Linked DNA regions of Drosophila melanogaster. The protein of the gene in region 1 interacts with the protein of each later gene in a pairwise test. Each region holds a gene or a part of one and is shown on either strand. Other genes may lie near its edges.

Region 1 (7,071 bases):
CATCAAGCGTTTAGTGTCTCTTGATGGTGGTGCTCCAAAAGGAAGTATTTATTTTATATTCGAAGATAATATACAACGAGAAAATATTAGAATATATTTTTCTGTGTAGAAATGAGCGTGTAATTCCACTTATATTTATGAATCTTTAAAGCCCAAGCTTTCATTGAGAAATATATATGTACGTACGTACGTATAAAGTTTAGAATATAAATGGGAACCATTGACAAACAAATTTAGTAAGAACTTTTAGTGCGATTGTTTTTATGTAGAGAACTTGAATAAAATTAAATCGGAATTGGAATTGGAATTATCAGTTAATCAAATATTTAATTAGAAACCTTAGGTCAAATAGTAGGTACAATGAATTGCCAAAAATTTGGCAAATAAAAAGCACTGATAAGAATGGATTAACTTAAAAACATAACTAAGACATTTAATTATTTATTTATTCTTCAATTATAGCTGATCAAACATTGCAAAAAAAGCGGAAAAAAACTACTTTCCCAAGTTATTATTTAGCTCACCAGATATTGCAATTCCAACCCATCCCCAGTTCCCCAATACTATCGCTCCACTTTGCACAACGTTGTTGGCATACTAATAGCTGCGCCTTGTTGATTTATTACTCATGAGCTCCACTTTTGTGCAATTCCAGACGGGTGATCGTCGAGGTCTACGCCTCGGATCTGCAGATTCAGGATTTCGAGGGCAGTCCGGCGACAGCACGATACAATATCAATGCTTATGTGGCGCAGCACACAAAGAATCACATCGAGAACATCATCGCCAGCGATATTCCGCAGACCACCAGGATGATTCTGGCCAACGCATTGTACTTTAAGGCATTCTGGGAAACGGACTTTATAGAGTCAGCCACACGTCCGGATAACTTCTATCCGAATGGCGAGGGAACGGAGCCGGTGATGAGGGTGCAGATGATGGCCACCGGTGGTGCATATCCGTATCACGAGGATCACGAGCTGGGCTGCAAGATCATTGGACTGCCGTACAGGGGAAATCTGAGCACCATGTACATCATCCAGCCGTTTAAGTCGTCGGTGAGGGAGCTAATGGCACTGCAGAAACGTCTGACGGCGGATAAGATCGAGAGCATGATCAGCCGAATGTACAGACGGGCCGCTCTGGTGGCATTCCCAAAGATGCATCTTACGGAGTCGGTGAACTTGAAGACAGTCATGCAGCGAATGGGGCTGGGCGGCATCTTTAGCGCGGTGCAGAATGATCTCTCGCTCATCGCCACCAACGAGGCCACGAGGACGAATGCGCTGGGCGGCAACAGCCTGCAGAATCTGGAGGCACAGCGCAGAGCCGGAACGGGTGGAGCACGTTCCGATCTGGTGGTGGATGACATTGTTCACAAAGTGGACTTCACCGTCAACGAGCAGGGCACGGAGGCGGCGGCGTCTTCGGTCACATACCTCAAGAAATCCGGTCCCGATGTCCTCTTCCGCGGAGACACTCCATTCATGGTCCTTGTGCGCCACGATCCCACGAAACTGGTGCTCTTCTACGGACTCATAAATGAGCCCCCGGCGGCCGCTTAGTTTCTAGGATCATAAGTTATTAAGCTTTAGCACCTAAGTTCGTTGACTTTATAGTTAGGAAACTAATAAATCATTCACAATGATGAAAAATAAATTAAAACGTAAATTATGAAAATTTGTATTGGTTTTTGTTGCTGTTGAATCTTTTCACATTATCCTATGTACCGTACAGCAGGCAGATTAAACAATGCCCACAAATGTTCAAGGCGCTAAGTTTCTACAAATCATTTAAATTTAAAAAACAACCGCCAATCAACCGGTTGCGGTTAAAAGCTCTGTTAAACGGAGATGCTGATTATTAGCGGGTAACATGTTTCGTTTAACGGAACAGCTGTTCATTTAGTCGGCAGTTATCGCTTAAGCCGCATGTTATCGATATCTTCAATTATTTTGTATTCTTTTTCGCAATAAAAAGTGTATACTTTAGAAATAAAGCTTTAAATAAGTTTAAATTGATTCGAAATGATAGCCCTACCCGACACAGATAGCGAGGATGAGCTGCCACCCGGCTGGGAGGAACGTGCCACCGATGACGGCACCGTTTGCTATGTGAAGTAAGTCAAAAGTCCAGTGGAGTCGTAAACATTGTCTGATATTTTTTAATTGCACCATTTAGCCAGCAGGGAAAAACATCACAGTGGACACATCCACGTACGGGTCGCTCCAAACGGATCACGGGCGAATTACCCTTGGGCTGGGAGAAGTACTACGATGAGCAGGGAAAGCGTTTCATGTTCCTCAACAAGGAGACGCAGCAACGAACGAATGTGGATCCTCGTTTGGCATTCGCCGTGGAGGAGCCCACACAGAATGTGGCCCAGGTGCGCCAGCGATTTGACTCCTGTTCGACGGCACTGCAGGTGCTGCACGGCAAGGATTTGCATGGACGCACCGCGCTGATAACGGGCGCAAATTGTGGCATTGGCTACGAGACGGCTCGTTCGCTCGCCCATCACGGCTGTGAGATCATCTTCGCCTGCCGGAACAGATCCTCCGCAGAGGCGGCCATCGAAAGGATTGCCCAGGAGCGACCTGCAGCACGTTCCCGCTGTCGATTCGCCGCTCTCGACTTGAGCTCTTTGCGTTCAGTTCAGCGATTTGTGGAAGAAATTAAGCAGAGTGTTAGGTCAGTAGCATAGCTTTCAAAATCTAATATTATTTAATTGATAATTATATTTATATTGCAGCCACATTGATTATCTCATCCTTAATGCCGGAGTATTCGCACTGCCCTACACGAGGACCGTGGATGGTCTGGAGACCACATTCCAGGTCTCGCACCTGTCGCATTTCTACCTCACATTGCAACTGGAGACACTGTTTGACTACAAAACACGGATCATTGTGCTGTCATCCGAGTCGCACAGGTAAGTGTGAATTTGAGCACTTTAGCACGTAATTAGGGAGGGAGGGGGTAATAGAGTATACCAGTTACGAAATAATTCATATATATTCTTATGGTGTGTATAAAAGGTTACAAACTAACCGCTGAACTTAAGTTTTATATTTCGTATGAAATATCAATAGATCAATCTTAAAAATTAAGTATTCAAAAGATATATGTTAAAAAAGGTTACATGGGAAATACAAAATCAACTGGTTATATTTCGCACTATCAGTAAGGGAATTAAAAAGTTATTTACAATTCGATCGTATTGTTTCTTGTATCAATTTTACTATCAGTCACTGTCTCAATAGAAAATCGTCTCTACTTAAGTTAAATAAAATACATCGAAGCTTCAAAATATATAAATTGATGTATTATATATAATTTCTTAAACCTATTTTCTTGAATCAATTTGGCTTATTTCTTTCCTAATTAAATTTCTCAATGTCAGCACTGTTAATCTCGTTTTAATAATTATTATTTTTTTGTTTCTGTTTTTGGCCGGCAAACAGTTGTCATTATTGCAACCTGTTTGTGTGCAAAATGATTATTATCAAAATCACACGGGTATTTTAATTGAAGCTGAATTTGGTGCATGTCACATTCTAAAAATATATATATTTAATATATTTTTAATAAGGAATAAAATAAAATTATATACTTTATGTTTTAACTATCTTAATAACTTTACAATATTAATTTAATTTATTTAATGTAGTTATAAATTCAATAGCTATTTCGTATTCGACACCATCAGTTTTAAATGTGTGTCTGCCATTTCGAGTTGCCTTCTTTTATTTTTGCAAGTTGATTGCACTTTTATGATTCCGCATAGTGGACTTTGCACCCAGCGTTTTCTTTTTTTTCGCACTTTGGGGCCAAACTATTCATAGACCAAACCAGAAATAAATGCATTCCGCCTCAGCCATGCCGTCTAGTGTAATGTTTTCCAAAATGTTTGCCTATTTGCCTCAGATTTGTTTGCGTAAGATGTTTTCCGTTTGATTCGATTTCAAGGCGAAACGTAATTGAACTCAGCTTGGCATATATGAGTATATATTATTCATAGGCTTCGTTTACATATTGTGCTGCGCACTCAGAGGCAAACAAAGAAACACATAAATATAAACAATTACGAGGCCAACGCAGCTGGGTTTTTGTATTATCAAAACCAAAAACGTGCGTACAATAGAGCAATATGATCGAACTCACGTGCAGCTGTAAGCACAGTGGAGTAGAGAGCTCTGAAAATATGATTGTAATCTTTCTTTAAAAAATATCTATGAGATAAATTAACTAAACTGAAGAAAGTATTTTTGTTTTTCTTTTAAAACTAAAACACATTCAGATTAGCTACGCATATAAATCCAAGCAGAGTACTTTTTTTGTAAGATAAACTTTGAATGTTCAAAACTAGCATGCTTTAAATAGATACTATAAATGTAAAAAGTGCCCCTATAATTTTCCTTATCAGCGCTAACTCGCTTAATTAGATTGATTCATTTGTGGCCGCTCGAATGGCTCACTGTGCATGCTGTCAAAGACCAAATAAATCACTGGGTGAGCGAATCTCGTGAAGAGGCACAATACCAATTCAAACTGAACTGGATGTACATATGTATGTACATACATACTGGCTATTGGAGGTGGTTTTGTATCTGCTGCGTTCGTTGCTGTGCTCACGTACAACATTTTTTGGCTTCGCGGAGCATACATGACTATCTGCGAGTACTCCAATGTGGCGCACGAGACTTTTGTTGCACGTTCACACGGGCGAGAAAAAGATATGAATGTTGGTATGGAAGTTCGACTGGTTATCATTTTCAAACATTAAAGATTACTTACAATTAGTTATTCTTGCATCAGCTCACAAAAATTGGGTTATTCATTGTTGCATAGATAAAATATTTTTATTTAAGGTTTCTCTTTTTCAAATAATTATATTTTTGCGTGGGAAAAGTTGTCCAGACATTAAACAATTATTAATTCAATTAGAGTCTTAAGGTAAAGCAACGAGTTATTGTTCTAAAATTAAATGCCATTCAGCAGCAATTTATCTGTCTGTAGAACCTAATTAATTTACATGCAAACAGTCGAAAAGAACGCTTTTTTGCTTACCTACCACAACAAGATACAAATATACATATATAAAAAAAGAAAAAAAATGGAACGCCAACGGGTTTCATTTGTCATGGATGCCAATGGATACCCATACTTATAAATAACACTGAATTTGCATACATTTTGCGACGTTATATTTACATCGCCCCCAAGCCGAGCGCAGATATTCAATAAAATGAAAACAAATCCAAAGTCCAGAAATGTGCGCGCAGATATGTGTTTGTGTATAGAAATGTTTTCATGTTGCGGCATTCGTGGATTCGCAGGAAATGTGCGACTTGCGCATGCGCTACTGCCGAGGATTCCAGAGGCTTCCGCCGAAAACTGGAGATACATAGATACATAGATAGATAGATAGATAGATAGATAGATACATAGATAGATAGTTCGCCATAGAGTTCACTATGCATATCAGAGGGTCCTTGTTCGATTGTGGGGCTTTGTTCCGCCGGCCCCACTTGTTGACTCACGCCATTGTTCGTGGGGAGCCTTTGTGCGCCCTGCACTGCGCTAATTCTGCATCTCATTAATAAAGAGCGCTTAAAGCCGGCTATGCCAGCCGGCAATGGCAATCAAGACTCGTTTCGCGATTGTCGGCCGGCGGGGCCAAAGTCCAGTGAGTTCACTTGGACGAGAAATGTTCATGTGGGTCTCATGTACCGACAAAGAAATGCGTCGCAAATAATCTTAGTTACTAACTAACATGCAGATTTGCCAACCTGCCCGTGGAGAATCTGGCAGTGCATCACCTTTCGCCGCCGCCGGAGAAATACTGGAGCATGATGGCCTACAACAATGCCAAGCTATGCAATGTCTTGTTCGCCCAGGAGCTCGCCCAGGTGAGTCCTTAAATTGGGTCAATTGAATTCCACTTGCCAACCCTTTTTTTTTGTTTTTTTGTTGCAGCGTTGGAAGCAGCGAGGCATTTCTGTTTTTAGCCTGCATCCGGGCAATATGGTGTCCAGCGATTTGTCACGAAACTATTGGTTCTACCGCCTGCTCTTTGCCATTGTGCGTCCCTTCACCAAGTCGCTGGTGAGTTTGGCAATGAGAAGAACTCTCTGTTTTCCCTTAACTTTCACTAATTGCTTTCTGTGCCCCATATGGCAGCAACAAGCGGCTGCCACGAGTATCTACTGTGCGACGGCCAACGAGCTGACCGGATTGTCTGGACTGTACTTCAACAATTGCTTCTTCTGCGAGCCCAGCAAGTTGTCCAAAAGTGCTGCACTGCAGCAGCAACTGTGGAAGCTGAGCGAGAACCTGATTGCCGAGCTTGTGGAGCAGGAGCAGCATTAGCCAAGTCATTTGGCTACTGTTTTTTAAATATATTTATGCATTATGCTACCACCAATGATTCCATTAGGTATAATTTTACATTTTAAACCAGCTATTCATTACAAAGATATATTTTGAATTCTTTAATAGTTTCTGCCCAATAAGTGCAATGCAAATAAACTTTTGTACGTTAAGAATATCATGTATTTTCTTTTTACACTAAACAAGTATACATTTTGATTTGTTTTTAAGTCTTAATGGCTAGCATTTAAATAACAGTCTAAGTACTAGTTAAGGAACTCTTCATTTGGGCACTAGAAATCGGAGACGCGTCCCTTGCGCTCCCAGTCGCCGTAGCGTGTGGGCTCCGGCCCGGCTGGTCCGCCGATCTCGCCCGTATACGGATTGGTCTGATTGGGCCAGGGCTTGAGTGGTTCCTTCTCCTGGTACGGATGTCGCGAGAATTCATCCAGCTTGCCCAGCGGCGTTTTAGCGCGCAGCTTCTTCTGGAAGGCCATTAGCTTCTCGGTGCGCGTCTTTGGTTCCTTGATCTCGACCACCATGTCGCCACCGCTGGCGGTTGCCCGCCAAGCGCCACTCGTCGATAGATAGCTCACTGTTAATGAAAAATTGAAAGAACGTTAGCATCGCCACTCCAGCACAGTGCGCACACACACACACACACACACACACACACCTTGTTTGCCCATTTGGGGCAGG
Region 2 (4,009 bases), on another chromosome or scaffold:
AAGCTGTGTCTGCGCTTCCCGGTAACGCGGGTGGAGCGTCAATGGCGCGACATCGCCTACTGCCTCGGCCTGCTCACCTACAACGAGCGAGCTGTGAAGAAGCTAATGGACAATATGCAGCACTACAGGGACAAGGTCCAGGTGGACGAGGTTTATCAGTCCTTCAAGCTCATCATTAGCAACACCAACAAGTTGGCCAAGCCGGAGCTCAAAGCTGTAGTCACCGAGTTCGAGAACCGACTGAACGAGTGCCTGCAAGTCAACCCGGATACCGCTGCCCAGGGTGATCAAGAAAGCACTCCAGAAGGTCAGGGCAACAGAACCAGAGCGGCGCCAAGGACAAAGAAGGGTGGTCGCAAGCCGGCGGCCAACAGGAACAATACTGTGCGAGGACGCGGAAGACGTGCTCGCCGGGATTCCACCTCAGAAGAGAGCTTCAGTTCCAGCAGCAGCGACTAGTTCGTGCTCCATCTTAAGTTACGATCTGAGCGGGTTTTTAATGATGTACAAAGATGGTTTTTAATAAAATAGTTAATAGAACCTATTATTGATATATTTATTACTTTGAAGTCAACAAACATCTAGTAAACTACTAAGATCCGTTTCCACATCCATCAGAAAGGGAACAAATATTTGGTTGCACTAAGCTACTGGGATGGGGAAACCAACACACGTAAATGGCAATACTCTAGACGCTTTGGAAGTACTAAGTTTGGTGGTTGCGTTCATGTTGTCTCTGGGCCTCCGACAGATGAGCACTGGGCACTGGCTTCACTTAATTTTCTTGCGAAGGGAGCGCTGGAGGGCAGGACCGTCGTCCGCGGTGCTCAGCGCAATGGCAAACTGGGCGGCGTAGTAGGTGATCATGATCTGGAGGCGGGCGCAGGGCAGGGGCACGCCCACGAACATGGTGACCGCGATCAGGGCGTCGGAGATCACAAACAGAATGGCTCCGATGGCACAGAACACGGCGAGGAAGTTCCTGGAGTCCACGGCGCGGGCCAGCGATCTCCACAGCATTGTGGTGATCAGGAAACAGTAGATGGGCACTCCGATGATGAGAATCTCGTCCAGTTTCGTGTGCACGAAGTAAACAACTGGGGGTTTCAAATATTCCAGGTAAGGTATACGTATATAATGACCAGTAAACTTACAAAGCGATACGGCCACGTACAAGAGCAGTCCAATGAACCACTTTATGGGCTTCCAGCCAAAGGCGCTGATATAAAACACGTGCGCCACTCCAAAGGAGATCATTCCGAAGGGAAAGAGATTTATGTTGAGCAGAGCATCACCACCACTCGAGAAAACCAGACCCAATAGAATCCAAAGTGAGCGACGGTATCTGTTAAAAATTTCTTGTTAATAAGTAAGTAGTATATAGTATTTCGATGCTATAAAGCTTACTCCTTCTTGAGCGAGATTCCCTTGGCCACCACATAGAATACAAGCGCGAAAATGGGCAGGCATTTGAGCACGGTGGTCCATAGCTCTCCTTGAGGATCCTTCCTCACCAGCGAGAAGTATAGGACAATAGTAACCAGGAATGGCACCAACTTTGGGCCTTGCGACTTAGCCTATAATCGATACATAGTACATAATTTTAAATATATTGCTTTAAGTATTTACAATAATTATCTTAATATGATTACGAGGCTTAACATGTTGCCTGGTCTTAAAATAGCTTAAACGATTATAACAAATCGAGCCACGGAGGTCCAAACTACAGCCAAATCAAGTGATTAGGGAAATCGAACCGTTTCGGGGGGCAGATTAGATTAGGGTTGGTTCTTGGGGTTGGCTCGACGGAACCTCGTCACCAAACATAAATGGGCTTTGCATGGAATTATTAAGGGGGGGTCTAATGGGCTCGGGTGGTGGGCGGCACTCGAGTGGTCCTTCAAACTTTCGCTTTCAATGCAGGAGCTTTCGAAGTGCGCCCGTCCGGAGAACCGAGAGATGTGCAAGGTCAAGGACGAAGCTTTGTGTGCTGCGTCTTGGTTCCACTTTCTGCGTTTAGATAGAGCATCCGCAATGCACACATATACATATTTCGCATAATTTCTATATTATCAATGAAGCTTAAGACCGTGAGATTCCTGAATTCCAGAACCTGCGCTACTTACGAACTGCCCGAAATCGTTCATTGCGGCCGTAATTAGTGCAAATTACAACTATTAGAGAGGGTTAAAAAAAAATCCGAGCCAGCCAAGCTGCACTTTCACACGATGCGAGCGCGGAATGGAAAATAAACAAAACTATACAGTGCCCCCCCGAAAATGAAAACAATGGAAAAAGAACACGTTGCGCACGGTCGGCCAACGTCAATAAACTGAGGCGTATCATATACATTTTCGATTCGCTGGACTGAAAAGTTTCCGATTGCTGGAGAGTGAAAAGTTTTCAGCCGGACATGTGGTGTGCAGCATATGCAGCATTCTGCAGATACGGATATCCCACAGATACAGATACAGATACATTTTGCGGGCCCAGGAGGGCAGATTGATTATTTCTTACCTTTGCCGTTTGGTGGAGAGCGGGAAACTCGGAGAGCGCTGCTCACGCAACAGGTTAATTGAGAATTGACCGTTGGGCAGAGCTTTTCCGCCAGCATCAGAATGTATCCGTGAGATACACTCATGCGCACTCGCTCTCCGCTCTCCGCTCTCTTTGTATCTTCAAAACAATGCAACAACCTCTGCACACTTTCACTTGCCAAAGCTTTCTCCGCAAAGCTTGGCTGGCTCCGGACTTTTTCGCCACCTTACTGTGGCCCAAAGTTCATTCCGTTTCGGATTGTGGCATTTTTCAGGCGTGCGAAAAAATTCCTCAGCGCTCCAAGAATTTCCACAGCAATTTTGGTCACTGCTTTAAAGTGAGCATAAAGCCAAGAGGCCAGCGAAAGAATTTTTATTTTCTTAACCAAGTAAGTGCTAGCCCAAAAGTATGCTATTGTTAGGCGTTCGAGTGTCCCAAGTGGAAAAACCTTGCTTGATTGAGCTGGAAAATTGTGTATCCGTGGGTGCTTCCTGCAGGCAAATACACACTCCTGTAGAAAGCAGGAGGTGGTGAAAATTAAAGCTGACCAGTGTGACACACATCGGGCAGCAGCAGCTGGCGGGGATTGGGGCAGGAGCGGAGCTCGTAAATTATGCAAAACGAAATTATGGTAATGCCACTGGCCAGAAAGCACGAGTGGGATCCTTGCCAAGAACGAAATAAAGAAGGACTGCCACACACTTGACCTCCAAGGAGCAAAGCCACACAAGACACTGCAGGGACTCGAGCCTATGTGGGCCACCAGTGGGTGGTGCACGTAGCAGGCCAGCCACCCACTCACACAAGTGCACGTTGAACTTGAGAAAAGAGCAGAGAAAAGCCCCGGGCGGAAAATGCACGATACACATCGATTAGATGACTGTATTTCCGGAGAAAACACACATCTCAATTATAATTTCACTTGAATTGATTAAATGCTCTTAATGGGTTTTTGAAAGTATTGAAAAGTGTTCTTTTTATCTCATACCTCAAATTATGCAATAAAATGCAAACGCGTATTTTATCAAGTTTGATTGATTTGCGTTCAATAATTGAATTGTTAAATTGTATAAGCCACTAATTGCACCACACAAATCCCCCAAAATAGATCGAATAGAGGCCACCCGAGAGGCGAGCACGCGACATGGCGTGTCCTTTCTTCAGGCGTGCGGACTCGCTGACACGCCAGCCCTCGGTCATCGCCGAGCCTGGTGGCCACTGGGCGCTCGAGGACGAGGAGCTCTCGGACGACGCCCTGACCCTCACCCACCTCCAGATGGCCATCCAGCTGCTGACGGCGCCGTCGAACGAGGATCTCAACACGGCTGTAACGTCTTTGGTGGCCAAGTACCGCCAGAACTGGCCCAATATCCACAAGCTGTAAGTAAGCATTATAAGAAATTATATACTAGATATAAACTATATCTAAATATACCCTAGCAAACTGGATCCGCAAACCTTCAAGAGCTGT
Region 3 (3,715 bases), on another chromosome or scaffold:
GTGCTGGTGGTGGTGCTGCTGGTGATGGGGGTGATGTCTCGGGTGCTGCTGTGGCGGATATTGATAGACCCCGCCATTGGCCTGTTTGTAGTAGTTCGCATTGTACTGGTACTGCTGCTGGAACTGCTGGGCGTAGTGCTCGAAGTTGGCATACGTCACAAGGTGCTCCTGTGGCTCGGGAGCCACATGGCGCCCCTTGATTATGTGCGCTATGTCGTTCAGCATCTTGGCCATGTCCAGCGAGGTGATGAGCTCGAAGTTGATGGCGTTGAGCGCCTCATTTCGCTGATGTCGCTTGTCCTCCACGGGCAGAAAGTAGTCATCCTGCGAGATCAGACGCACCTCGCCAATGGTGTACGGCGAGTTCCACAGCGGCGCTCCTCTCAGACCCTTGAAGTAGTCGTGCAGGCTGTGGGCTAGCGTAGTTTTGCCACCACAGGTGACTCCCGAGATACCAATGACCAGCCACTGCGGCATCTTGTCCACGACTGACTATCGCTCTTCCTTGTTTTTCAGTGGAATCGTACGTTCGCGTTCGCACCGAGCAAGATAACCCCCCGGATAACCCCCTTAATCACGTTTCACTCTCAGGCTCCAGATGTGGTAAAAGGAGAACGCGGCGATGCCGCCGAGGAAGATCACCCCGAACACGGTGGGCACAATGAAAGCGTACTTCAGCGGTGGAAAGAACAGCCGAATGGGATTGCCTGTAAAAGTTTGTAAAGTATACTCATGTTCACAAGTGTTTCATTTGATAACAGGCCAGGAAAGAAAATACGTAAGTATATTGTTTTTATGATTACTCTTAATAGCAACAAATTAAAATTGTCACGGAACGGCAAAACTACGATCATGAAATATTTACGTATAAAGTGAAGAGCCAATATCCAGGCGGAAAAACTACCGAAAATAATTAGCTAAGTACACACCCAGATTTGGAACCACATAATACAGTGGTACCACTGGTTAAGCACGTTTTCGTTTTTATCGCTGATTGTACATGCCTAGACTCTACAATAGCTAACTAGTTTGACTGTGCACATATCGGGCGAATACTGTACTCCTATCATCACTAGTCGTCGGTGACCTTGACCCGAGCTTAGAGCATCGTACAGCCGCATTCCAGGTAACCCGTGTTAGGGTGGTCACCTCTGTAAAACACACGGGTTCATCCTCGTACACTGCCAACTATATATAATTGAACATCGTGACCAATTTACGCCGCGGCGTCACTTTAATTACTATACAAAAGCGCGAGATTATTCAATAAAACTTATGTATTAGCGGGTGAATAACGGAAGCCGTGGAAAACTCACCTTCATCGATGAGCATAAACGGGAGGACGGCCACCCAAAAGAAGTAATAGAAGAACACGGCGATTGCAGATATCAAAATGATTTTCCCGAGTTGCGCATTCGAAGCCATAAATAGCTATTCTCGGAAATTCTGGGGTTTCTCTGGCGAGAGAACACGCGACCGGCGATTTGTTTGTAAAACTGCTCATGGGGCGTTCTCCCCGGACGGACTGCTTCACTGTCCACTGATCGTTTACCCGCCGCACGAATCCCTAATGTTTTTTCGTAGCTGCCGATTTACTTTCGTGGCGTAATTGTAAACAAAACAAACAAGTGCGTCAAAAAATTTCCGAATTCAAGGTAGTGGTGGTTCAACCACTCGAACAAGTATCGATAGCTCGAGTAACTGTTTTGCGCAACACCAGCGGATGTTCTTATCGATGTAGGCGAGTCACTTCTGCTTGGGGATAATTTTCAGAATAAGATTTGTATATTATTAGCTTGCTGTAAAACCCCTTGTTTAGATAATGAACAGTTTATTAATATTTCAAATTAAACTATCATCATCGATATTTCAAGTGAAACATGCATCACTATGACAGTGTGACCAGCACTTACTTTCAATACTTTTCAGTGGATAAAACAATATCGATATGTCGATAGTAACTGATACTATCGAACGCTGATAACCCAGCACTAATAGAATTGTAAACAAACAATTTTTAAATTTAAGAATGGTAAAAAATGGGCAATCGAAACGGCAGCCATGGGTGAAGAACCTGTACTCCAACCGGGAATATCCGGACAACTACACGGATGCCAGCTTTCTGAAGGATCTGCGCACGAATCTACATTGTAGAATATACACGTTCGGCGAAGCAATTGCCGGTATTACAGTGCTTAATAATCAGATCTCCTGCATCACCGGCTTCCTAATACTCTACCAACTTATGCTCAGCGACAGCGTGTCGCCCACCACGATCCTGGTACCCAGTTGCGGGATCACAGGCATTGGATACCTGTGCTACCGAGGAAGGAGTCTCAGCTGGGCCCTGCTGGGCGAGGATTCCAAAACCCTGGTCACAGTGGTCCTCTTCGGCTACTTATTCTCACCGATGCTGCACACCCTAACGCAGGCCATCAGCACGGACACCATATACACAATGACCTTCTTTGTCCTTCTGGGCAACCTGATATTTGGACACTATGGATTGGATGTAGCCATGGTCTCTAAGGTAGGCAATATTTACGGCTATTGGTGTTGATTGTATATTGATCTTGACTCCACCTCAGAATCCTATATAATACAAATACTTCTTGTTCCATGTTAAGCGCAGGCCGTCTCGTTGAATGCCGCCATATTTGGAGCAATTTGCTTAGCCTCCCGCCTGCCGACTTCGTATCACGCCTTCGTGCTCCTTGTCGAGGCTGCCGTCTTTTTCGTCCTTTATCCCATAATGACGGAAGCGAATTGGCATGCTGGATTCATGTTGCCTATATTTGCAATATGCTGTATGGCGCTGTACTGTATATCGCGCCCGGTGCTCTATCTCTACGCCTCCACCACCATTTTCATCAACTTTGTCTGCCCGTTCATATTCGTGTGGCAGCAGCAGTACAAGTTCAACATTCACGGGCCCTGGGACGAGGCCATCGTGGAGGAGAACACCGAGGAGAACCTGGATGGGAACTTATAGCGCCAGCTGCGCTTCTCAGAACAGTTGCCGCCACGACTGGGTAGCGGCGACGTCGAGGAGCACTTCACTGATCGCTAAACCATTGCACGCTTATTTTTATAACTTTGTAAACTCATTCCAAGCCATTGATGTTAATCTTTTGTATCATGTTATATCTGTTAGTTTGTAAGTAGCGTTTTAATAAATTATACTTTTTGTGTTTAAAACCATAGCACTTTTAAATTTGTGTAATTTTTAGGGGACTTTCTTTTGGTCCTATGAATGGCTTTTTAAATAAATTGTTATCAACTTAAGGCAAAGGTTTTTCAATTGAAAGATAATGGAGTTAAATTAACAGGGTGAGTTTTTTGGCTTGGTTGTGTTTTACTCAGACTAAAAATAAATTTAGTTAAAGATTATTTATCGTCAGCGACTAAAACCCGTTTCGTAGATAACAATTAAACATTCGCATGAGCATACATTGAATATATTTGACCCTATCTAACGCAAATAAATTGAAGCAATTGCTTTAATAATAGACTATGGAATATGGATGAGTGACATCTGTATTAAGTGCACGCCCTTGGGTTTCCCAGAAGTTCCTAGTCTAACCAGAGATTTAATTATTTTAGTATTCTGCGTTTTACCTATCTATGTAATGCATGCTGTCCTGCAAGCTACTTCCACAGTTTCAGTAAGCATTCTTGAGAGATAAATAATCCAGATTACATCATATAGTATCGC

What was found.
Region 2: the proteins of Wwox (region 1) and CG7582 interact in a two-hybrid assay, tested with the Drosophila melanogaster proteins (one large-scale study listed by BioGRID).
Region 3: the proteins of Wwox (region 1) and PIG-C interact in a two-hybrid assay, tested with the Drosophila melanogaster proteins (one large-scale study listed by BioGRID).

What each region holds. Positions count from the first base shown.
Region 1 is NT_033779.5:7,999,145-8,006,215, reverse strand, and holds Wwox (WW domain containing oxidoreductase), read left to right. Parts: upstream 1-1,929; 5' UTR 1,930-2,027; coding exon 2,028-2,119; intron 2,120-2,181; coding exon 2,182-2,691; intron 2,692-2,752; coding exon 2,753-2,932; intron 2,933-5,782; coding exon 5,783-5,912; intron 5,913-5,979; coding exon 5,980-6,108; intron 6,109-6,183; coding exon 6,184-6,372; 3' UTR 6,373-6,546; downstream 6,547-7,071. Other genes in the region: Spn28Dc (serpin 28Dc), read left to right, coding at 656-1,565; Sirup (Starvation-upregulated protein), read right to left, coding at 6,666-6,967, 7,049-7,071. UniProt on the Drosophila melanogaster protein: Putative oxidoreductase. May control genotoxic stress-induced cell death. May play a role in TGFB1 signaling and TGFB1-mediated cell death. May also play a role in tumor necrosis factor (TNF)-mediated cell death. May play a role in Wnt signaling.
Region 2 is NT_033777.3:29,679,720-29,683,728, forward strand, and holds CG7582 (uncharacterized protein), read right to left. Parts: upstream 2,323-4,009; 5' UTR 2,148-2,322; coding exon 2,127-2,147; intron 1,578-2,126; coding exon 1,408-1,577; intron 1,346-1,407; coding exon 772-1,345; 3' UTR 522-771; downstream 1-521. Other genes in the region: CAP-D2 condensin subunit, read left to right, coding at 1-459; Gycalpha99B (guanylyl cyclase alpha-subunit at 99B), read left to right, coding at 3,683-3,918, 3,979-4,009.
Region 3 is NT_037436.4:3,317,507-3,321,221, reverse strand, and holds PIG-C (phosphatidylinositol glycan anchor biosynthesis class C), read left to right. Parts: upstream 1-1,989; 5' UTR 1,990-2,029; coding exon 2,030-2,530; intron 2,531-2,632; coding exon 2,633-2,992; coding exon of another isoform or gene 2,993-3,070; 3' UTR 3,071-3,194; downstream 3,195-3,715. Other genes in the region: CG12016 (uncharacterized protein), read right to left, coding at 1-477; Dpm2 (Dolichyl-phosphate mannosyltransferase subunit 2), read right to left, coding at 571-707, 1,317-1,425.